Drosophila melanogaster: one gene and its partners. The protein of the gene in region 1 interacts with the protein of each later gene in a pairwise test. Each region holds a gene or a part of one and is shown in the gene's direction. Other genes may lie near its edges. The genes, in order: RpS9, CG14506, CG32772 and EDTP.

Region 1 (3,759 bases):
CCATCGACTTTTGCTATTACATGCGCAGACCAGAGCAATATCCGATATTCTATATGTTTCACGATTCCCTAATGGCAGCCACCAATGCCAACCACTCGTGTCCATATACAGTAAGTACAAACATGTATCTCAATTGTTATTTCACGTCAAGTAACACCATAACACCATATTTTATGCCCACAGGAGAAGGATATTTATGTGAAGAAAATGACTTTCAACGATAAGACGCTGAAGGATCTGTTATCCTTTTTACCTGTTGGTGAATACAAACTTGTGGTGTCTGTTGGGGCTTTTGGAGTCTGGCGATTGCAGGTCAACTTGTTTGGAGTGCGTGATTAATAATGGGATTGTTAAAATAATAACCAAAACAGTTTAAAATTAAGTCGATCTGAGATCAGAAAAATCAATATTAAATAATCAAAGCAAACCAGCCGTCAAATCGGACTACAGCGTAGTCATCCATCGATGAGGCAACATGAAAGAACAGCTATTAAGTTTAGTGCTCCCGTTACTCATCATATTGGATTGTAGCCAGGGGAGGGTGTTCAGAGTCAGCAAGATGGAGTGTCGATCCTTGGATCCATCGTTCACCTACTTTAAGACTTGTAAAGTGGTTCGCAGGGAAAATGGTCGAGCTGCTCTCTATGTTAGTGAGGTGTTTCTCTACAAAGATCCAATTGATGATATCGTTGTAAGTTGAAAAGTAAACATTTCTGAAGAAATAAATGAATACCTATTTTACAGCTTAACCTTGGTGTTTTTAGAATAGCTAAAAATCGTCGTTTTCAGTTCCTGAATGAGACTTTGGACTATTGTCTTTTTAGTCGGCAGTATTTGGCCAGTGGATTTTTTGGATTTCTGATGACTCCACTGTTGAGAATCTCAAACTTGAATGCTACATGTCCGCTTCAGGTGAGATCGAATGGGTTGATGATTGATTTTTGTCATTGATGGTATAACCTTTAGCAAAATATAACTTTCAACGGCTTTTCTGTTGATGAAAACACAATAAAGGAGATTCCAATTCCAAACGGTGTTTACATGTTCCACTTGCGATCGTCCCTGATGAAAAAATGGCGGACAGACGTGAAAGTCTATGCTACGCGAGTTAATAATTATTCGGAATAACTGATAAATTGGTTTACATACTTAATAGCTCAATCTAATAAAGGTCTACAGTATTTCTTACATTGGAACTACATCTTAAATGTATTCAATATTTGACACAACATTGGTATACGTATACGTACTGTATAACACTTACATTGAAATTACATTTCATGCAATATACATTCGACACAGCACTTTCAGGCACATCATTAGAAAAGACGCCACTTTGAGAAGTTGAAGTTGAGAAGAAGAAGTATCGTAAAAAATTAAATATTTTCCGCAATGGGATTGTATTTTAACTAATTAAAAGTTTTTTCTTATTTTTTTTCCATACATTAATTACATTTAAAACTTTTGCTTAGTTAACCACTCATAAATTTCATAATGTATAATTACATGTCAAATCTCTAGTGGTTAGCGATAGAGTGACCGTTTAGTTTCCGTGGTAGGATTATGTGTATTTCTATCAAACACTTTGGTCACACTACCTTCACCCCTCTTTCTTTTTCTAAACGTGAGCAAAACCGTAAGTACAAAATATGAGCTCCGCAAAAACTTTGAAAAAGTACATGATAATGTTCAAGATAAAGAACAAATTCGCCTACTTAGGTCTGAATCGATTGTTGGTACGCTGAATATTTCAAAGTTTTTGCGAAATAGACTGACGATGGTGCAGATACGCAGTGATTTCCGAACCGAATTTAACCTAACTTTTGCCTTGCAGTGCTCGGTTGAATTGTCGGAACCATGGTGAACGGCCGCATACCCTCGGTCTTCTCGAAGACCTACGTGACTCCCCGTCGCCCCTATGAGAAGGCGCGTCTGGACCAGGAGTTGAAGATCATCGGCGAGTATGGTCTGCGCAACAAGCGCGAAGTGTGGCGCGTCAAGTACGCCCTGGCTAAGATCCGTAAGGCCGCTCGTGAGCTGCTGACCCTCGACGAGAAGGACGAGAAGCGTCTGTTCCAGGGTAAGTACCAGGCACACACATATATTCAGTCGAACTTCCTCAAACAGCAGCCTACTAGTTCCCGACTTTTAGAGCCACTTCTAAACTTTGTTAATTGCTTTGATTAATCGTAATTAATTAGTCGTAACAACCCACGTGTAAAGCTGTTGACCGGATTTATTCCATTGTATATTGCAAAATTGCATGTTTAAATGTCTAGACAGTATGTATATGCGAAGGAAGTTCGACTGCATAATCCAATTAGTTGCCCTGACCTGATGAACTGTATTAAAAAATATATTCTGACACTTCTTGTCTGATAAAATACGTTGACGTTAACAAATACACACTGAAGAGAATTCTTCGCTAGAACTAGCGATTGCATTTTGAAACTTCCATTGATTGTGTACCCATTTTACCCACAGGTAATGCCCTGCTGCGCCGTCTGGTCCGTATCGGTGTCCTGGACGAGTCCCGCATGAAGCTCGATTACGTGCTGGGTCTGAAGATTGAGGACTTCTTGGAGCGTCGTCTGCAGACGCAGGTGTTCAAGCTGGGACTTGCCAAGTCCATCCATCATGCTCGCGTCCTGATCCGTCAGCGTCACATTCGGTAAATATCGCTTGGACAGGCGACAACATCGTCGCCAGGCTCTCTCAGATATAAACTCTGTTCTGTTCAGTAAGACCACTTGGGAGTCGAACAGGCGCCAATGCTTGTACCGACTCTCAACGTCTGTAGATTGCGCATGTGACTCCGTTCACACCAATCGAAAATGCAAAATGCCCGCCTAGCGTAAGTTGCACTGAACGTTTTTTGTTGAACCCAACATACATAGCAGCCACCATTCCGATGGTTATCATAAAGCAGAGCTTAACTAATCCAAATATGGTGTTCTTCTTCCGTTTGTTTTCACAGTGTCCGCAAGCAGGTGGTCAACATCCCGTCGTTCGTCGTGCGCCTGGACTCCCAGAAGCACATCGACTTCTCCCTGAAGTCGCCCTTCGGCGGCGGCCGTCCCGGTCGCGTCAAGAGGAAGAACCTGAAGAAGAACCAGGGCGGTGGCGGTGGAGCTGCTGAAGAGGAGGAGGACTAAGCAGTGGTAGCCAGCTGTAGCCAAGACAAATACATGGCGCAGACTTGATAAAAATCCGTTTGCTTTACACAAATAAATGTAAAAATACACGAAGTTGAATGTGTTTCAATGCGCATGTTTGTTTATAGAATGGGTTAAGCCGAAGATGATATCGAAATATATGCAAATAAGACATTGAAGTTTTAAACAAAAACAAAAAAAGTTATATGGTTAATGTAAAGATTATTTTCTTTTTTAATATTGCTGAAATAAAAAAAAGCAGTATTTATCGATACCCGGTCAGAGCTGCAATTCCAGATAAGGCTCCAGTGTGCCCAGAGAAGTAATCTAACGAAATGCTGCCGTTATCAACTTAGTACTCGTTATTTCCCGAGCTTTCGTGTGCTTCGCCAGCAAAATTGCCATTCTCACAAAACGAACGTTTGAAAATCACTTGAGATTCGGGTAAACACAAACTCCAAGTGACGAGGAAGAACAGCAGCCGGAATAAATCGCGTATAAATAGTGTGATAAGCAAGTGTCGCCGAAATGCCGAAACCCGGTGACAAGGCGAAGGTGAAGGTGAACGTCAAGGAGCGGGTGGTGGACGAAACCTGCGACTTGA
Region 2 (5,894 bases), on another chromosome or scaffold:
AGTCTTGAATGCAAATGTGTGCCTGTCTCTGATTTGTAATCAAATTAAATTTGTGTTTGGTACAAACAATGAGCGACAGACGACAACATCTCGCATCCGTGATAAAAGCCGAAATTCCTGGTAGACACCAAAGTCAGGCCGGAAAATGCAGTTTTCCCACAGTTGCCGCACGGCTCCAATCGCAACTTCTAGGGAAACTCCCTCACCACCAGAGCTGCGCTGGTGAAAACCTCATAAATTCTCACTTTTTGGCAGGCCGCACACGGCGAGGGAAATTCGAGGCGGCAGGACTCGAAGGACACAGCGCCAGGCGATGAATAGACATTCCCGAGATAATCAACGGCATTATCTTCTGATTATTATGTGTTCTTGGGGCATTTCAGGGAATTTCGTTATGATGAAACTCGCAAAAAATATCGAACTATATCCGGGATGATCGGCGGATGATGAGGATGCCGGGACACCCGGTTGAGTGGCTGAGTATCCGCTTTCCTTTCTCCTCTCTCGTTTAGTTTTTTTTTTTTTCGCAAATTCTCTGTGAGCTCATCATAATCATCATCAAACCCTCGGTCACTTGAGGTTTAAGCCAACATTAAAAAAGAGCCGAAAAAACACCCAAAGACGAAGGAAATCGCCGAAATGAACGTGAGAACACTGAATGTCCTCGTACCGAAATTTGCTTGGGCTCCTCATTGTTCGTTGAAGTGCTCGAGAGAGATTTGCTAGTTGTGTCCTTATTGTTTGCGGGCGAATGTTCATGAATGAATCAATGAATGCCTGAATGGCTAAACGGCTGAAGTTCACGTCCGCACAAAGTATCCGAGTATCTGAGGGATATTGCCGCGTTTTTAGCTGGAATCCCGGATGCAGTCGAGGCGTGAGAAGGAGGCGATCTCTGCGGCCTTGGCAACAAGTCTATTAGTCCGCCATGGTCCACTTGTTTATGGCTTACGTAACCTGGGTGGCAAAGGATGTGCAGGATCTGCACTGGCAGATGGATTCGTGAAAGGGATGCGCGCCCTGATTTCTGCGAGTTGGGTAAACATTCATCGCATCCGGTGCACCCTTGACCGATTGCGAATGCAAATCGCACATTAGAAGCCATGTGCAACTTTCCGCCCAGCAGTCAAACATTATGCAACCGAAACCGAAGGCCGCCCAGTCCATTGATGGCAAATGACAGGGAAACCCATTCGGGACACGTTTTTATGGAGGTGCGAAATGGCACATTTTTTCGACGAAACCTGCCGCGTCATTGAGTCGTCGTCCTTTTTACACCGGCTATGTGCAACCTGAACAACCTGTGCAAGCCTTGCAATTTGTCACCTGAGGCGACATTCAAACTGCCAACGCATTCCAGCTGGGTTTTTGCCTTTGGCCTACTGGTTCCTTTCATTTGGCCACGATTTGGTGGCAACAGTTTCATGAATCGCAGCCGGAATGCCGACCGTTACGAATATTCATTCATGGCACGGCAGCCACTCTGGGGACCTTAAATGGGGCTTTGACTTTGATCCTACAGTTTCATAAAATATTTATGAAATTTCCGATGAAAATATTTGTGCTCAGTTTGGCAAATCATTTCCTTGTGCGAAACGGATAAAAATTTTCCCAGGCCTCGATGAACTGAAAGTGCAATTTTCATTTATGCAATGGGAAAGGTTTGAGTAGGTTTGACTTTTAAGGATTTGGGGAAACCTCAGGGGAAAGACTTTAGATTCTGCGTAAAAATTAGGGAATTTATTTCTATGAATGGCAATTTTTAAGGGAAAACTCCCCACTTCACCACTCTTATAATAAATAGTCATTGATCAGAGTTGGCTTTGGGTTTGTCTATCAACCAAGTATATTTCAACTTGGCTTTAAAAAGCATGGATAGTTCATGGAGCTCCTTGATTTCCCTAGAACCCCTGGGAGTGACCAACACGCCATTGGACTTGCCTGGACTTGATTCGTGTCCTTCGCCAAAAAGAGCAAGGATTAGTGAATCCCAGCTGGGGGAAGCCATGCCCAGGGAACCAGCTAGTGTCTATGGGGAAAAGGCAGGTGAGAACGGCTATCGGGGACTTTAAGCTTCTCACGGACTTTGAATTATCCACAATCCTAGCAAATTTCCATTCCCTACAAGAGAAGGTGAAAACGTACCAACCTGGCACAGTGGTAGTCCAGCCACCCGAACGACGGCCTCCCGAGCCGGAACACGATCGCCTGATGTTCATTCCCGACCTAGACCAGGACATTACCCATCGGGATGTGTTCACCTATTTCAGCAAATTTGGGGATTTGGAGAGGGTCAGCGTGAGGAATGGCATGAGTAACTTTAACTACGCCATGGTGCGGTTTAGTCGCACTTCATACATGGAGCATGCCATCGAATCGAATCCACATCTGATCAAGGGATACCGATTGAACTGTCGCAAGGCGAAAGAAAAAAGTACAAATAAGGGAAGTCAGCAAAACTCTGGGACCATAAAAAAACCAAAGGCAACGATAACGCAGCCACACAAAGCTCCTGTAAGGCAGGCAGAGAAAAACGACGCCAAACAAAGTGGTCACAAATCTTTAGAGAAGAATTCGAAGCCACCAATTAACAGATCATTGCTTCTTCAAAAACTGGTAGAACCCACGTCCTATAGTCCATTTACCGCCGTAAAATCTGATCGAAACTATGCCTATGCATTAACCAATGACATTGGAATCTCCCGCTGGAGCTTTAACTTGTTGAAATTCGAACCCAGTTCAGACGAGGTGAGGGCCCTGGAAAAGGGTCTTTCCAGTTCGGCAAAGCTCCTACTGAGCATACGGAAGAAACTGGCTGCCGTGCCCCACAAGTCTGTCGAGCCACCAGCTCCAAAGTGGCCACAAACTCCTAGTGATAAAGCCGTTCCAAAAGTTACTCTTAAGATAGCTCCACCAATTCCTGCCTCTAGTCCAGTGCTCCCATCCCTGCCACAAACTCCTAGTGATAAAGCCGTTCCAAAAGTTATTTTTAAAATACCTCCACCACCTCCTGCCTCTAGTCCAGTGCTCCCATCCTTGCCGAGCCTTCTGCCGATCACTCCCCTAGTGCCTAAGCCCAAACCTGTTCTTCGAAAAGTTTCCAAGTCAGATCTCCGCTACGCCGTTCTAGCCAGTTTGGGTCAGAACTATGTCCATCACTGCTACACTAATGTGGCAGCTTATCGGCGGACCAAGAACTACGTCGACCTACAGCTCAGCGAGATGAAAGACCGACCCAGCATTTCGATGTTTGCGGATCAGATGTACGCACAGAAAGAGTAGGAATTACCAAATGCAAATCATATCTATCATATCATATATCATTCAATATAACAATAGTTAAGCAATATTTCCCAAGAAACTTCAAAGAACACTTTCATTATAAGGAAATGGCATACATTACATAAGTCGGACACTTTCTAAATTGAGGGAAGCCGAAGGATGTGACTTAGATTCCTGGAAGATATGAATGGAGCTGCTTGAATGAAACGTGAACATATTACACAAAAAGTTCCAATTCCAATTCAAAGGCACTTGAATCGCAGCAACCTGTCAACATAATTAATCCCCTGGATCAGCTGATGACGGTACTGCCCCTGACCGAATGATACACAAAATATGAACAATTCCTAGAGGGGGCGCGGGAATGCGATAAATGCGATGAAATAGGGGGCCTTGATTTCTGTAGCGCGGCCTCTGTTCTGCCCGACATTCCCAAGGATGTGCCTCCAAAAACCTGGCTTTCTTCTTGCTGGGCCGTGTTAATTGTCCAACATTGTGTGAGCGTGGACGTGAACAGGTCGGGTGCCATTAACAATCTTAACAACGATCCACAGCCACGGCCACGGCGATCCCACGGCTTGTCGCCTTGTTTCTCGAGCAGTTTTTTATGCCATTTACGAAGAAATCTTGCAACAAATCAGGAGCTCCCTTTTCCACAGTAAATACGAGTGTGCGAGAGCGACCTTTATTCGTTTGATGTTAAAAAAATTGTTCTACCTTCTCCCCCCCCCAGCACTACTTGTCTTCCTTTTTGGCCGGCCATCTCTGTGAACCTGTGACGACGCAATTCTTTGCCATTATCAGCTGCATCCTTGCAGGTCCTGCACTAGTTGCCCCCGCTCTCAATTCCGTTGCCGACCCCGATTCAATTTGGCTTTTATTGGGATCTCGGGCATCCCGATCCCGATCCCGATGCGATCCTAATTGCGGTGGCAATAGCTCGGCGTTTAATCACTTCGTACCTGCGGCTTAGACAGTCAAACCCGGCAGTCACTCATCGCGGCGGAGGCGGATATGTAGTAGAGCTGCACATATAAATGGGTATATGGTCCTGCAAATGGATCGACCTCGATGATTTTCACCAGCCAAATTGCGGCTTTGTGTTGCCTTTTCCCATTTGCCGGTGGATACATTTGGACTGGATCGTTATCTGGTTCTCTTTGTGCTTTCAAGGTTTATGGTCTAGCACACATATATTTCCTGTGAGAACAAATCCCAGTCCTGATGACCCCCGTAAACAAACCCGGTGAACATGGAACATCCCGACTAACAGCAACAACATCGGTGTCTTCCACTAAGTATTCGAATTCCCCTTCCAATTTTTGTGGGGCGATCGTGTACTCGCGGGCTGAAAAATCTACATAATGACAGGGCCACGCCGAAAACTAGTTCAGATCGCAAATTACGAACCGGTAAGGGATGGGATGAGATATACATGCATGTGTGTGTTGCAGTTCCCATTCAGGACACTCGGGACAGGACATCGAGCGCAACGGGAGACGCGGCGCGTTGAGGTTCGGCAAAGGTCATGTCAGGACTTTGCATAAAATGTTTGAAAATGTTTTCATTATGGTAAGTAGACACAAAAGTCCAACACACGAGCGATTCCCACCGAAAGGGGTGTCCTTTCCCAGCCCATCCCAGCCCGTGCGCCCAGGATCCTGGCATATATTGGTGATAAATTAGTTTAATGTTCGAAGCACCAAACTCGCAAGAAGCACACGAAAAAAAAAACACTCAACCGCAGCTGAGGCGGCAAAGTTTGGCAGGAAAATCCGACCTACCGTTTTTGGCGGCATTTTCCCGACATATACGTGTCCATCGAAATGAACTCGAGTCCTGGCAACTAATGAACTACGCAAACAATAGCTCAATGGCTACGCTTTAAGGAAAAAACGACGTAAAAATCACGTCTTGGAAATTTTCACATCGTTGATCTTAAATGGAAAATTACACTTCTCTAGCTGGACAGTGCAGGACAAACAGGATAGAATAGCGATCAGGACATGACACAATTGCAGTTTGCAGGACAATTGTTGCACTCACGCACGTGCAATGTGTTCCTGCAACTCGGTGTCTCTGGATTTCGAAGTCGAGTGCGCAGGGCCACGCCCATTGTGTGTCCCAGTGGCCGACTATATAGTACAGTGCGTTTCGTGAATGAAGCGACCAAAGTTACGAGTTACTTTGAATAGCGGCGGCGGTGGCAAGTGGATCAGATCCTGCGACAATGGCCTTTGTGTCCTTTGTCTTCCGCCTTGTTGGGGGTGTGCGGTGTTGTTGCAATTTTAGTGTAATTTTATTGTTATTAATTGTATGAAATGGGTTTTTAAATGGCCTTTGTCTAGGCCAATGAATGGCCATAGTCATAGTAAAAACGTGCCTTGTTAAAGGCATGTAATATCATAGGTTTTTTATTTTTAGCGGGACAAATAAATCTAGTAATTGTAACAAGAGTTATATTGTTTCCACACATTTCGCAGCAGTTTAGAGCACTTTCCTTTTAAACGAAAAGGAATGACTTTGTGTTACAACAACTATCATGTTATCAAAGCGGAATAATAAGTTTTTAAAGTAAATAAATAAATAAACTCAAGGCTATTGAGATCATT
Region 3 (8,022 bases), on another chromosome or scaffold:
ACGATCGTTTGGAACGACCCATAACTTATTCGGAAACTGGCCAGCGGCTACCGGTGGACGTCTATATGCGCGCCTACATCTACTTCATGCAGAACCTGGAAGCACACGATCTACAGTTCAAGATCTATGCGCTCCTCCAAATGCGATACCTCGATCCGCGTCTCAACTTTCGCAACGTAAGTCCCAAGCGCAGGCAGCCGATTTTGGGCGAGGAGCACCTGAGAAACTCGCTCTGGATGCCCCACATATTTCTAGCCAATGAGCGCGACTCCAGTATTTTGGGTGAGTACGGTAGAGTCTGGAGTAGACTCGTGCTTGATTGCAACTAATTGGTAGGTCTCACGGAGAAGGACATCCTCACCTCGATATCGCCCGATGGCACAGTGATCGTTTCGAATCGCATCAAGGCGACACTCTATTGCTGGCTCAACCTTAAGAAGTTCCCATTCGATGAGCAGCACTGCTCGACGGTGCTGGAGAGTTGGATGTACAATACGTCGGAACTGGTCCTCCACTGGGAGCAGAAGCGTCCGATAACCTACGATGGGGCACTGCATCTCACCGAGTTTGTGCTGCAGCGTTCCTGGTCAAACGAGACGGTAATCAATGCCGATTTGAGTGACCTGCGTCATGGAGCCTTTGCCGGCAACTACAGCTCCCTCAGCTTCACCGTTCACCTGACGCGAGTGGTTGGCTTTTACCTGATGGACTACTTTCTACCCTCCATGCTGATTGTGGCCATATCCTGGGTATCGTTCTGGCTGCAAGCAGATCAGGCGCCGCCGCGCATCACGCTGGGCACCAGCACCCTGCTGACATTCATTACCCTGGCCTCGGCACAGGGAAAGACTCTGCCAAAGGTTAGCTACATCAAGGTGTCAGAGGTGTGGTTCCTGGGCTGCACCATCTTCATATTTGGCAGCATGGTGGAGTTCGCCTTTGTTAACACGATTTGGCGTCGTAAGAAGAGTGTGCCCGTCAAGAAACTGAACAGCAAACACATCCTGAAGTCAACTCTATCGCCGAATCTGCTCAGACGACGCAGTCACGCCAGATCCAGATCCTTTTCGGGCACGGCTCTGCATAAGACAGCGGATACCGGCTCGCTGGGCGGTGCCGGTTTCAACAATTACCTAACCGTCAATTTGCCCATCACCACGATTAAGGAGGGCCAAGTTCTGGATCAGCAGAGGACCAGCCGCGTCGTCCAGAAGATGGATGTTAACTTTGTGGAGAGTGCCTTTGGATCCATGGGCTCTGCCCAGTCCACTGGAGCGATCAGTGCTGCCAGCAGCAGCCAAACTTTGACCAACAATAACCGAACGGAGAGCGCGGGGCACCAGGAGGAGATCGATCTGAGTGGCTGGACCACGCTAACGCCCCAGGAAATAGCCATGTGGATTGATAGTCGAGCCAGATTCGTTTTTCCGCTCTCCTTTCTCGTCTTTAATCTGTTTTTCTGGACATTTGTCTACTGTATTTAAAAAAAGGTCCATTTCATTTTATTATTAGATTACACAGTAGATTTAATATTGTGAAAAGTATCCAATTTAAAGTGTTTATTATTTGTACCCATCGTTTAGCATAGTTTGTTTAATTATTGTGAAAGTTTTGTATTATGTTTGTTTCACTTTGTTCTGTAAAATGATTTTATATTTATTCTGTTGTAAAATAAAGTTCATGATTCTATGGCTGCCTAAAAAACACCATCAATTATTTAAATAAAATAACCTATGATAAAATAAATCTTTCGGACTTGCAATTAAATATTAAATAAATAATAAATTAAAAAACTTGTTTTCAACAACGATTCCATTACCCGCCTCGTTTTCGATTACGGAAATCGATAGAAATATCGATAGGCCAGGCCAAGGAGCACCGGCCAAGCCAACCTGTGGGTTAGAGCAGCACAACTATACCGCGTATTCTTATCGTATTCGTTTTTTCCCCACACATACACACACACGGCTCACGCATACAGCGCAACAATAACATCGGGCCCCAAAAAAAAGGGAAAAAAGACGACGGACAAAAACTTCGTCGTGAATTGTAAAATACAAAAAAAAAACGCATTCGAACGCGCTGGTTTGTTTTTTTTTTCACGTGTAACTACGCCAAAAAAAGGGCAAAGGAATTAAGCAAAAAAAAGAAGCAGAACTTCGAAGCAGCAACAACAACAGCGCCGCATTTTTGCTTGTATGTGCAAGTGCAAGGCAAACATAAACAACGCGCGTGTGTGTGTGTACCACGAAAATATCGTATAAATCAAATTTCTATATCATTTATATAGTTTTTTTTTTGTTTTTGCCATCATAATATGCCATATAGCGATCACCGAAATCCAAACGCAAACCAAACTCCAAAAAGTTAGTTTCAAATACAACCACACATCGTTTGGATCGTGTTCACAAACTTATAGTAGGAAGGAAAAGGAAAAAGATAGAAAAAAAACGAACTAAATAATAATAAACGAAAAAGAAAAACGGCGCTGAATGTTAACCGGTAAAGATAGCGGTAAATTGCGAGGGAGAAGGACGACAACAACAACAACAACGACCGCAGAGGGGGCAAAAGTCAGCAACAAAGTGCATCCTCCTTCTCCTGCTCCCCATCCTATTCCTTATTTACTGTTATAATGGACACCATCTGTAGATTGTGCTTCCAAACGGCAACGGTATGTTAACAAAAAAAAAAAGATATACACACATGTGATTTAGGTATATACACTTTGTTATTTCTATTGATTTTTTTTCTTTTGGTGGAGTTTAAACAATTGAATTCGCGCTACTGTTATTGTGCGGGCGGGTTGTTGGCGCAGGGGGCGGGGTTCAAAAGCGCGCGCATTGCCCCCCTTTCCCCACACACATACAAACGCACACACACAGAAATAAGAAATACACATACACATGCGACCCCAAACTATTGCTGAACAATTTTTATTTTTAGCCAACTCAGCCCGAAAAGTTGTTCAAGCCGACAACTTGAAAAAATATTATTTTTACATTTTGCTTACGCTCGCCACTCGCTTTTCACTTTGACTCCTTTTCAACCTATTCCCCCGAACAGGCCCCCCTCTTTCAGCCCCCTCCCGCCGCCCATGAACCGCACAAAAAGAAATACATATTAAAACAAAATGACAGAAATTGCGCCAAGGCAGCCAAATACGCAGTGGCTGCGCGTTAATTTAGTGACAGAGGGTTTACTATATTGGGCATCTAAGCCCAAAAATTTAAAGTTAAGCGGTTATAAAACTAACAAAACAGATCTAACTTTGCTTGGTTTTTAGTTCATTATTTAAACAATTACCAAATAACCCCTTTTTTGTAGGCGACGCCTCTGCCGCCGCCGCTGGCAGAGCGGCGGCAAAGCAAAACAAAAAGCGAAAGAATAACAAAACGTTGTACCGAAGAAAAAAAATAACATGAAATGAAAACAACAACAACAAAGCAACGAGCTGCTGGTGCTGTTGTTATTGTAGTTTCTTTTCTTTCTTTTTCGCTCTCCATGTGTGCGTGCCTGTGTGTGTGCGTGTGTTTATCTTCTTGGCTCTTATTTCTAGTTGGTGGAAAAGAGAAAGGGCTAGTTGGCATGGAAGGGGGAGGGTATGTGTGGAATAAGATTGAGTTGCCACAATAAATAAAGAGCATTATTGGTTTTTTTTTTCCAATTGGAAGCACTCTCTAATTCACGTGTCCTGTTCTGTTCTATTCTATTCCCCCGCCCTACAGTTGTTCCAGGTGCCCGGCTATAGCATACCCACGTGCGTCCGCTGCTCGGAGCAGTTGACAAATAATTCCAACTTCCATCAGTCGGCGGCGGCCGCTGCAGCCGTCGCTGCCTCTGCCTCGGCCGCAGTTGCCGCCTCTGCAGCAGCGGCGGCCACCTCCTCGTCGACGGCCTCCTCCAGCGACAGCGACGCCATCGCGCAGCAGCAGCAGCATCAGAATCCGCAGCAGCAGCAGCATCAGAACTCGCAACAGCAACAACAACAACAGCAGCAAATGCAATCATCCAGTTCTTCCGAGAACCTACAGTCGCAGGACGACTCCGAAGACGTAAGTCCATTTCAGGGATTGGGATACCAAGGCAGGGAGAGTGTTGCAAAGGGCATAGTGAGTGGGTTGCACTACGTGTAGTGTTACGAGAGGCATGGCAAGAAGTGGCAGCGAATACAGTGCTGCAAAGGGCTTACTAAAGGAGATAAATAAAGTAAATAACTGAAGGTCGTTCTTATTTTCAACTAAAATATGAACGTCTTGAATATGTATATTAATATCTATGAATAAATTTAAAATTTAATCCTAATGTTTAATAGTCCACGAAAAGTGTTCTATGGTTTAGGAATCCAATCAATGCAATTGCCCATCAAACTATAAATGATTCAAAAAAATTGACAATTTAAACCTAATTACAGAGTTCACTGCAATCCTCAGTAGATGCATTGCATTTGGAATTATAGGGGTTTGAAGACCCCCATCAACCGTTTTCAGAAGAGTGCTTTACTTCCCAGGGAGTTCGACTCCTGCTCCTTTTGCTGCACTTGTTTATTATTGTTGTGCTATTTTCTCTTCATTTTCTTACATTTCACTACTACTCCCCCGCTCACAAAAGTCTTACATATACATATACATAAATGCACACGGACACACTGCACATTCATAGCCGCTGCTTTTCTTCTTCACTTCTTATTTCGCCGTTTCTTTGCATGTTCTTGTTGCCTTTCTTTTTCCATCATGCAACAGAGAATTGCAAAAAAAAAAAATGTATAAATAAATGTAAAATTGCCTTGCGACGACTTGGGAATGCTCTATTGCAGACATGTTTAGATACTATTTACTATTGCTGCTATTTACATAAATTTCAAAAAAAAAACTTCAGTACAGTCTCATTCCATCACACAGTCGACGTGGTAGTGTTGGAAAGTTCTTATAGAAGATTAAAAACGGTAGGCCCTACAGATATGCATTACAAACGGGTTAGAAAAGTGTTGAGCGTGAGAGTATTTTCTATTCCACTTGCTACATTTCGCACTGCTCATTTTCTTGTTTTCCTTTATATTTATATGTATATATATATATATATATAGATATATGTATATACACATATATTTTGTGCTTCTTTTTCCATTAATATCTGCTCTGTCGACGTCGACGTCGAAGTCGACGCAGCTCGGCGTTTTTGTGCGCTGTGTAAAGCGGAAAAAATTCATTTTCAGTTGGCGCTTTTGGTGTGTGGGTGTGCGTGGCACGCAGAAAAATAAATAAAATAATTATAATAAAAAAAAAGCTCGTGAAAAATATTAAATGTAACTCAAGTGATTCCCCAATAAACAAACTGAATTCGCACGGGAATTTGCAATCCGTTCTTTTGGCCGCCAGCTTGTTGAGCGTGAGTGGGAGTGGGAGGGCGATAGTGACACAGTGATGTGCACTTGGCTACTTATTCGTTAGAACTATATGCATATATAATGTACAGCTTAGAAAAAAGGTTTTTCGCATAAATTTATAGTAGGTTGTATTAAAGTAAAATGGCATATCATATATAATGCCTTTCTGATGGAAGGTAACCCGCGGTAGAAGGCAAGCCCTTTGCAACTAATGTTCGATTTGTTTCTTTAAGGTGGATCTGATATTCAACGAGGAGGGCTCCTGCCCGCTATGCAACAAAACTTTCTCGCGCAAATCCTCGCTCATGACGCACATACGAAATCACTCGGCGGAGCGTAAGTTTGTGTGCACCTACTGCCACAAAGGTGAGTCCCATATGCCGTTCGCACACATCATCTGGTTCTTAACAATCGATGTACCTCTTGGATTTTCAGGCTTCACGCAGGCGGCCAACTTGCGGAACCACGAACGCATCCACACGAACGATCGGCCATATCAGTGCGTGGACTGTGGCAAGACCTTCACGCAGATCACCAATTTGAACAATCACCGCCGGCTGCACACCGGCGAACGGCCCTTCGTTTGCAATGAACCGGAGTGCGGTCGCAGCTTCGCCCAGGTCAGTTCCAAGATAAATTGATAAATTGCAGAGGATTTATGATAATAACGGCTCGATATGTTCTCGCATTGCAGGTGACGAACCTGAACAACCATATGAAGTCGCACCACAAGGTGCAGCAGTACTGCTGCAACGTGTGCAACAAGAAGTTCACGCAGGTGACCTCGCTGAACCAGCACCTGCAGGCGCACGCTGGGGTCACCGGCTACTACTGTCCGCGTTGTCCGGAGAAGAACTTCAAACTGCAGTCGCAGCTGCATACGCACATGAAGACCCACGGCCTGGCCTTTCCGTACGAGTGCGACAAGTGCGACGAGAAGTTCCTGCAGCAGGCCCATCTCGACCAGCACCTCAAGATGCACGACGAGTTCAAGTTCAAGTGCGACATCTGCCCGAGTAGCTTCAATCAGGAGTCGCTGCTGAAGAAGCACGTGCAGCGCCATGTCGAGGGTCGCTACCTCTCCTGTCCGGTGGCCAATTGTGCCGAGTCCTTTGCGGTGCGCCAGCACCTCTCCAAGCACCTGCTCACCAATCACGCCCACCACGAGCTGCCGCCTCCGAAGCGATCCAAGAAGGCGGGCACGCTGCAGACGTCGCAACAGCCGCTGGCGATGATCGGCCAGCCGTTGTCACTGCAGCACACGACAGGGCAACGTAAGTGCTCACCATTCACTCATTCACTTTGAATCTCACTACGCCTTTCGTTGCATATCCAGGTGGGCGTCCGCCGAAGAACAAGAACAAGGCGACAACGCTGGCCGCCACGGCCATCAAGATCGAGATCAACGAATCGCTCCACAGCCAGCATATCAGCAATGTCAGCGGCCTGTCCATCCAGCAGCAGATCAATCAGCACATGCAGCAGCAGGCGGCACAGCAGCAGGCGCAGCAGCAGGCGGCACAACAACAGCAGCAGCAGGCGGCGCAACAACAGCAGCAGGCGGCGCAGCAGCAGCAACTGCTGCACTTGCCGATGGGACAGGCGGTCAAGGCGCGTTTCATACCCACTAAGTAGGCTAGTTAAGAATGGAAAGAAGGTCTCTTTTAGCTTAAGCCCCGAACGATCAGCTGCTAAAGTCCCTGATTAGCATAGCCATAGCCAAAGTAGCATCACATTCAGCACATACACACGTAAAATATGTTAGATATATGGCGCGGATGTTTTGGAGTCTCTGCAGATCTCTAAATACTTTTGGGTGTCTGAAGTTGATGTAGAAATCATTCTTTATATGCGTTACCCGTGGAGTTAAGCGTATGCTGGATTGGTGAAAAAAAGGTATGGAACAGGCAGTAGGAAGCGTTTTCGTCCTTGAATTCTGAATCAGAATGGAATGGGGGAGTTAGTCGAGTTCATCGATTAAAGCTAGCTTTTAGTTTTTCTGAGATGCACTTGTCCTACTCTCGCATTGAGTTCAGCATCAACTTTTTGGGTATCAGAATCCACTTAATTATCTTGAAATCGGCGAGTGGACTTCCAAAACATCCCGAATTTAGAGTCGGCGGCAAGCTGCTGGTTCAGTTTGGTGTCTGTCTCCCACTTCCTGTTTTGAATTCAGCAGCCAAAGCAATAGAGGAACCAAATGCCCCTGAATAAATTTCCAAGAATATTAGCAGCAATGCATGACATCGAAAGAGATAAGGAGAAAAAGCAGCAGCACCAGATGGACAGACAAAAACACAACTGACTTATAAAATTATGCACATAACACCCACATCTATATATACATTATATTATATAAACATGAGATCGGGTTGAGAAATCTGTAAAACTTAAATCGAATTAAAATTTTATTGTAATGCAAAGGCGCAGCGAAACGGAAAATATAATGTTGAAAAAACAAAAAAAAAAAAAAAACAGAAAGCAAATACAAATTACCTACAATTGATAGTAATTACGCATAGAGAAAAGTAACGAAAACAAGAAGTGAAAAACAATTCGATTAAATTCGGTATGTATTTATGTTAGGCATTAGCTTAAGTGTTTTTATTTTTTTTTTAATAAACCATTACAAAAAA
Region 4 (4,948 bases), on another chromosome or scaffold:
GGTCAGGAGACACTTCAAGGAGGATCTGATCGTGCAGTCGGATCTGGCCAAGCCCGGATGTCCCCGGATGTACTTTTTGAATCACGAACTGCCGGGCAATGAATTCACTCTGTTTGAGGTTACTTTCCTGTGTTTCTGTCACTTCTGAAGATCGTAACCTTTTTTGAATCTCTGTAGAACGGCTCTCTTCTGCGTCACTGGGACAAAGTGGAACTGAGCAAGCGGGAGTACTGCGTCCAGCATCTTTCATTTAAGGATGATAGTATCCGAATTGCACCCCACTTCTGTCCACTTTCGTCTGAGCACTCCAGAACGTGGAAGACCGTTGGTAAGCTGAATTCCCTGCTTGACTTTAAGGTTTTTAGTTAATGTCCTTTCTCACAGCGATAGTGATATCCTTGATATGCATAATCCTAACGATCAGCGTGTACCTCTATGTCGAGAAGCTTCGCAACCTGCACGGAAAGTGTTTCATCTGCTACTTGGCCTCTTTGTTCTTGGGCTATTTCTTCCTGGTCCTCAACGTGTGGAAATACTCCTCCGGCTTCTGCGTTACAGCAGGTTTGCTTGTGGCGATTACAAGATAAAGGACGACTAATTTCACATTTCGATATCATGATCAGGGTTCCTGGGCTACTTCTCCGTCATGGCCGCGTTCTTTTGGCTTTCTGTGATTGGAATCCACTTGCGGATTAAGTTTAGTCTAGCCTCTAACTGTTTGCACCGATTGCTGCCAGAAAATCCGTTCCGTGCATACAACTTATACGCCTGGGGTATACCGCTAATCATGACTGCAATCACCTATACAGCTGACCAGGTGGTTAAGAACGAGAAGTTGAGACCCCGCGTGGGCGTCGGCAAAAATTGTTGGATCTACAGTAAGTTACTATTCCTATAATTACAATTACGGTGTAACTCGTTTTGTTAACCAACAGCTGGCGATATGACTGTCATGATCTACTTCTATGGCCCGATGCTGTTGCTAATCGCTTTCAACATAATAATGTTTGTCCTTTCGGCGATTTACATATATAACATAAAGAAAAATGTGAAAGGCCTTGTCCACAAGCAACAAACAAACCAACAGATAAATGACCAACAAATGTAATTATATTATATTATAAGATAATAACTATAATGTCAAATGGCACTTTTTGTAATCTTTTATAGGTTTGCTATATTCCTGCGACTTTTCATCTTAATGGGTTTGTCGTGGAGCTTTGAGATATTATCCTTTTTGTTAACCAAACAGCAAGCTTGGGCTAGGGCTTTAATGGTGGCTGACTACTTTAATTGGTCCCAGGGTACCATCATATTCGTGCTTTTTATTTTAAAGCCTAGCATTCTAAAACTTATAATAGCAGGGTAAGTAAAGTATTACAAATAACCTTGAAATTTGACCGTCTCATACGTATGAACAATCTTTTGATTTAGGGGACGTCAAAACCTCCCAGGAAGTCACCATAATTCGAGATCAAAAGCAGCTCGATATAATTCAACTCATACGGCTTGTGAAGGATCAATTGCGGATCCAAACGCTTACTGCTAAAAAAATGGAATTCAATAAGATGCAACGTCTCTGTTATTGATCACATTATTTTAATTTTCTATGGAGCAAAAGTTTAAAAAAAATATTTGTTATCAAGACAATAAATAATGTCTTGGAACATATAAAGCAAAATATATTAAAGGGTACAAAAAACAGGAAAAGTATGGGGCAATACAGCAAAATATTTTTCGGATCATCAACTTTTTTGTAAGACAAAATGTAGAAATATTTCTGGCACCGTTGTTTCAAACCAGGGTTTGAGTCAACAATGCTGGCCCACCACTGGCAAGTACCAAACGATTACAGAAAACTTTTTCTAATCGATTAAGCATCGGGGGTCATCGATGTTTCTCCACCACTACAATTTCATGTTGTTTTTTTAGTCGCGGCTGTTTGACGTTTGTCGCTTTCCTCCGTTGCGAATATAATATATTACGTAGCTCATTTTTATACAAACGGAATTACGAGCGCAACGACGACAGCAACACTAGTAGCACTAATCGTAAGCGCAGGGGCCAAAAATTAAATTGCGTTTGCGGCCGCAAAGATTTGATGACGTCGCATACGCCGTCTTCTAGGGCGTAAAAAGCAAAGCAAAGCAAACAAACGCGAAAGCGAAACGTGTAAACGGCGTAGAAGCGATAAACGCGACTCAAATACGCAGCAGATAAAATACAATACGCGAGAAGAGAAAAGTCACGGGAAATATTGTTCATATTCGGCGTCTTTCTGCGAGCGTAAACGTGTGTGCGTGGGCTTGTGCTTTTGCCAGTGTCGTGTGTGTTAAGTGCCTGTGTGTGTGTGTGATTAAGAAGATATAAAGGAATATAACGGTAAATGCAGCGCCGCAAAAATGTGCAGCCTGACGCCAAACCACATGGTAAACGTAACGCAGCAGCACCTACACGATCTATTGGAAACTTTCGAAAAAAAGTCCTTCGAGGCGGCGGCCTTTGAGGAAGGGACGGCGGTAAGTTAACGGTACCAGTGTGTGCTTGTGTCTGTGACTGTGTGTGTGACATACATTTAGGCGCACGTGCACGTGCTGCCGCCGCAAAAACACGCAGACACACACACACCCATGCATGATATGCCTGTTGTGCTAGTGTGCGTGGCGCTTACACCGAGGACACGTCATAATGTCCTGTCCTCCTATTGCTCTTATTCTCTTCCCTTTCTTGCGCTCCTCTCCCTCGCCGTCTTCCTTCTGCCGCGCCCCGAAAATACTGAGCCACTCAAAATGGCTGCCATTAAGCTTCCTGCGAGGAAAATCGCATTTTCATGGCAATCAATAGGCGGTAAAACATGTCGTTTGAAGGACTTAATGGTTCGTTTTCTCAAAGAGCAGAATTAATCACGGGATAGCTTTTCCAATTTGGTAGTCAATCAAGGTTGTTACCTATAAGAGCACTAATCACTAATTAAAATATCTTTTTTAAATAAGATGAGCAATAAACGGTATTTTTGTATAATTTCTATTAACATACATTTTATGGTCCTAATATTATTTAATTTAATTGATTTTTCTATTCCGTTTCTTAGCAAATTTTTAATTAATTGATAAGAATTAAATATTAAGTTTCAGCTTTCAGAGTTCCTTATCGAGTTGCATTCATTTTGATTATTAAATCAATTTCAACTAGGAAATCCCGAGTAAGCAGGTTTTCCGAAACCGGAAACTTCCTAATGGCTTTTGTTCTCGAATTGCCATTGAAACTCAATATCCCACTAAGCTGTGCTAAGCGATAATTAAAAGCCTAACAACGGCCTTTTTAGGCCCGCCCCTGACCCACGCATAAATGTGCATTTTCTTTCCACGACACGCACTCGAATTCAACTTTTGTCTTTTGCCTTCAGCTCATCCCCTTGCACCCGTTCATCCATTTTACCCCCCTCGAATGTCACGCACGCCTTTTAAATAGTCCAGTGTGTAATGCCATCTTATCGCCCGCTTAACCGGCAATAACACAGAATAACAATTGTAATGGCAACTTGGCAACAGCCGCTGCTCATTTGCATGCCAGTGCTGGTGAATATATTTAAGCCAAATCCCCGAGCCAGGCTGCCTGGAAACAGAGCGAGGAAAGCCAAGTGGGAACTTGGCACGTAACTCACGTTTCCGCGACGATCTTACATCGGTTTGTTCAGCTGCAATCGGCACATAAATATGTACATACATACATACATATGTGCATACTTACTTGTGAATGTTTAACCGCTACCGCAAACTTTGTTGCAAACGTATGTTTTTATCAAACAATGGCTAGGTCTTATCACCAACCAGGGCGCCAACCTTCGATTTGATTTTCCACAAGTATTTTCCTATTCCTTATCTATCTGCCAGCTATTCGAAGGCACAAACAAAACGCTGCTACTGCCCCTTGATACAAAGCATTGCATTTTTGATGGGGTGCAAAGGGTGAATTATGTGTGCGCTTCTCTCTCACTTGTTTATTTCCCAGTCTCCTCGGGGTTCAGGGTTAAGTTTAGCCACACCGATTAGATTAGGCGTTCGCCCAGCCAAAGTCACAATACCTAAGCAAATGACGTAGGCAGGCGATGAGGTTTATAGCTTACAGAGAACGTATGTAAGAACCATTAAATGGGTTAAATATACGAGCTAATAAGGTCAAAATGGCATTTAAATTGCAGCTAAAGATAATATTGCTACCTGAAATATATTTGGAAATCTTTAAATTGAAATTGAAGAGCTTTCCAAATTCATAAGTTTTACTCCTCGTCTTATCGCAGCAACCAAAAACAAGCAATCCTCTTAAAAGGACTCAGAAAAAAATCGAGTGAATAATAAGATTGAGTTTGCTCCAATTTACATCAAGACATGGAAATATTTAATATTCAACATCCATCAAAAAAAATTACACTTATTTATGTTGGTTCACCACAAAAAAAAATACATTTATATATGTAGATTTGCTAAAAAAAAAAAATCAACGTACATTTAAAAAGTTTCGCAGTAGACGCCGACCGACAATCGTTGGACAATTATTGTATGCTTATGGACTTAGAAACCCTGGAAACTCCGGCGGAACTCTTCCTCGAAATCCGCGTGGCCAAGATCAAGCTTGTGGTAGTCGGTGAATCCCTCGCGATCCAGCTTGGCCTGGGCCCAAAGGATTAGCTTGATGAGGAACATCATTCTTGGCTCCATGGGCTCCTCTTTGCTCTTACTCTCATCCTCGTGGCAGCGTAACATGGCTGCATTCATTTCACCGGCCACCTTTTGGCGATATGAGTAGTACATCAGCTCCCCGTAGGGACTGTATTCCGGCCGATCGAAGGCCAGCAGACCCATGGTCCGCTCCACTTCGTGGTAGTGACTTGGATCGACCTTGGAAAAGCCCGCTGCCTTGCTCTGGGCAAACTTCAAGGCCTTCTCCA

What was found.
Region 2: the proteins of RpS9 (region 1) and CG14506 interact in a two-hybrid assay, tested with the Drosophila melanogaster proteins (one large-scale study listed by BioGRID).
Region 3: the proteins of RpS9 (region 1) and CG32772 interact in a two-hybrid assay, tested with the Drosophila melanogaster proteins (one large-scale study listed by BioGRID).
Region 4: the proteins of RpS9 (region 1) and EDTP interact in a two-hybrid assay, tested with the Drosophila melanogaster proteins (one large-scale study listed by BioGRID).

The regions. Positions count from the first base shown.
Region 1 is NT_037436.4:9,509,377-9,513,135, reverse strand, and holds RpS9 (ribosomal protein S9), read left to right. Parts: upstream 1-1,604; 5' UTR 1,605-1,636; intron 1,637-1,830; exon of another isoform or gene 1,831-1,834; 5' UTR 1,835-1,857; coding exon 1,858-2,080; intron 2,081-2,246; exon of another isoform or gene 2,247-2,484; coding exon 2,485-2,671; coding exon of another isoform or gene 2,672-2,675; exon of another isoform or gene 2,676-2,977; coding exon 2,978-3,155; 3' UTR 3,156-3,246; downstream 3,247-3,759. Other genes in the region: CG33702 (uncharacterized protein), read left to right, coding at 1-110, 184-339; CG33703 (uncharacterized protein), read left to right, coding at 476-691, 745-912, 967-1,128; CG3408 (uncharacterized protein), read left to right, coding at 3,684-3,759. UniProt on the Drosophila melanogaster protein: Component of the small ribosomal subunit. The ribosome is a large ribonucleoprotein complex responsible for the synthesis of proteins in the cell. Part of the small subunit (SSU) processome, first precursor of the small eukaryotic ribosomal subunit.
Region 2 is NT_033777.3:29,293,207-29,299,100, reverse strand, and holds CG14506 (uncharacterized protein), read left to right. Parts: upstream 1-1,920; 5' UTR 1,921-2,006; coding exon 2,007-2,046; intron 2,047-2,107; coding exon 2,108-3,282; 3' UTR 3,283-3,940; intron 3,941-4,015; 3' UTR 4,016-5,358; downstream 5,359-5,894.
Region 3 is NC_004354.4:4,907,124-4,915,145, forward strand, and holds the start of CG32772 (uncharacterized protein), read left to right. Parts: upstream 1-1,978; 5' UTR 1,979-2,196; exon of another isoform or gene 2,197-2,328; 5' UTR 2,329-2,635; coding exon 2,636-2,674; intron 2,675-3,728; coding exon 3,729-4,055; intron 4,056-5,257; exon of another isoform or gene 5,258-5,388; intron 5,389-5,619; coding exon 5,620-5,752; intron 5,753-5,821; coding exon 5,822-6,006; intron 6,007-6,080; coding exon 6,081-6,660; intron 6,661-6,722; coding exon 6,723-7,021; 3' UTR 7,022-8,022. Other genes in the region: CG6927 (uncharacterized protein), read left to right, coding at 1-282, 337-1,484.
Region 4 is NT_033778.4:17,441,907-17,446,854, reverse strand, and holds the start of EDTP (Egg-derived tyrosine phosphatase), read left to right. Parts: upstream 1-1,916; 5' UTR 1,917-2,402; coding exon 2,403-2,519; intron 2,520-4,371; exon of another isoform or gene 4,372-4,571; coding exon of another isoform or gene 4,572-4,948. Other genes in the region: mthl4 (methuselah-like 4), read left to right, coding at 1-118, 178-328, 385-561, 624-878, 936-1,104, 1,171-1,365, 1,435-1,549; CG18467 (uncharacterized protein), read right to left, coding at 4,572-4,948.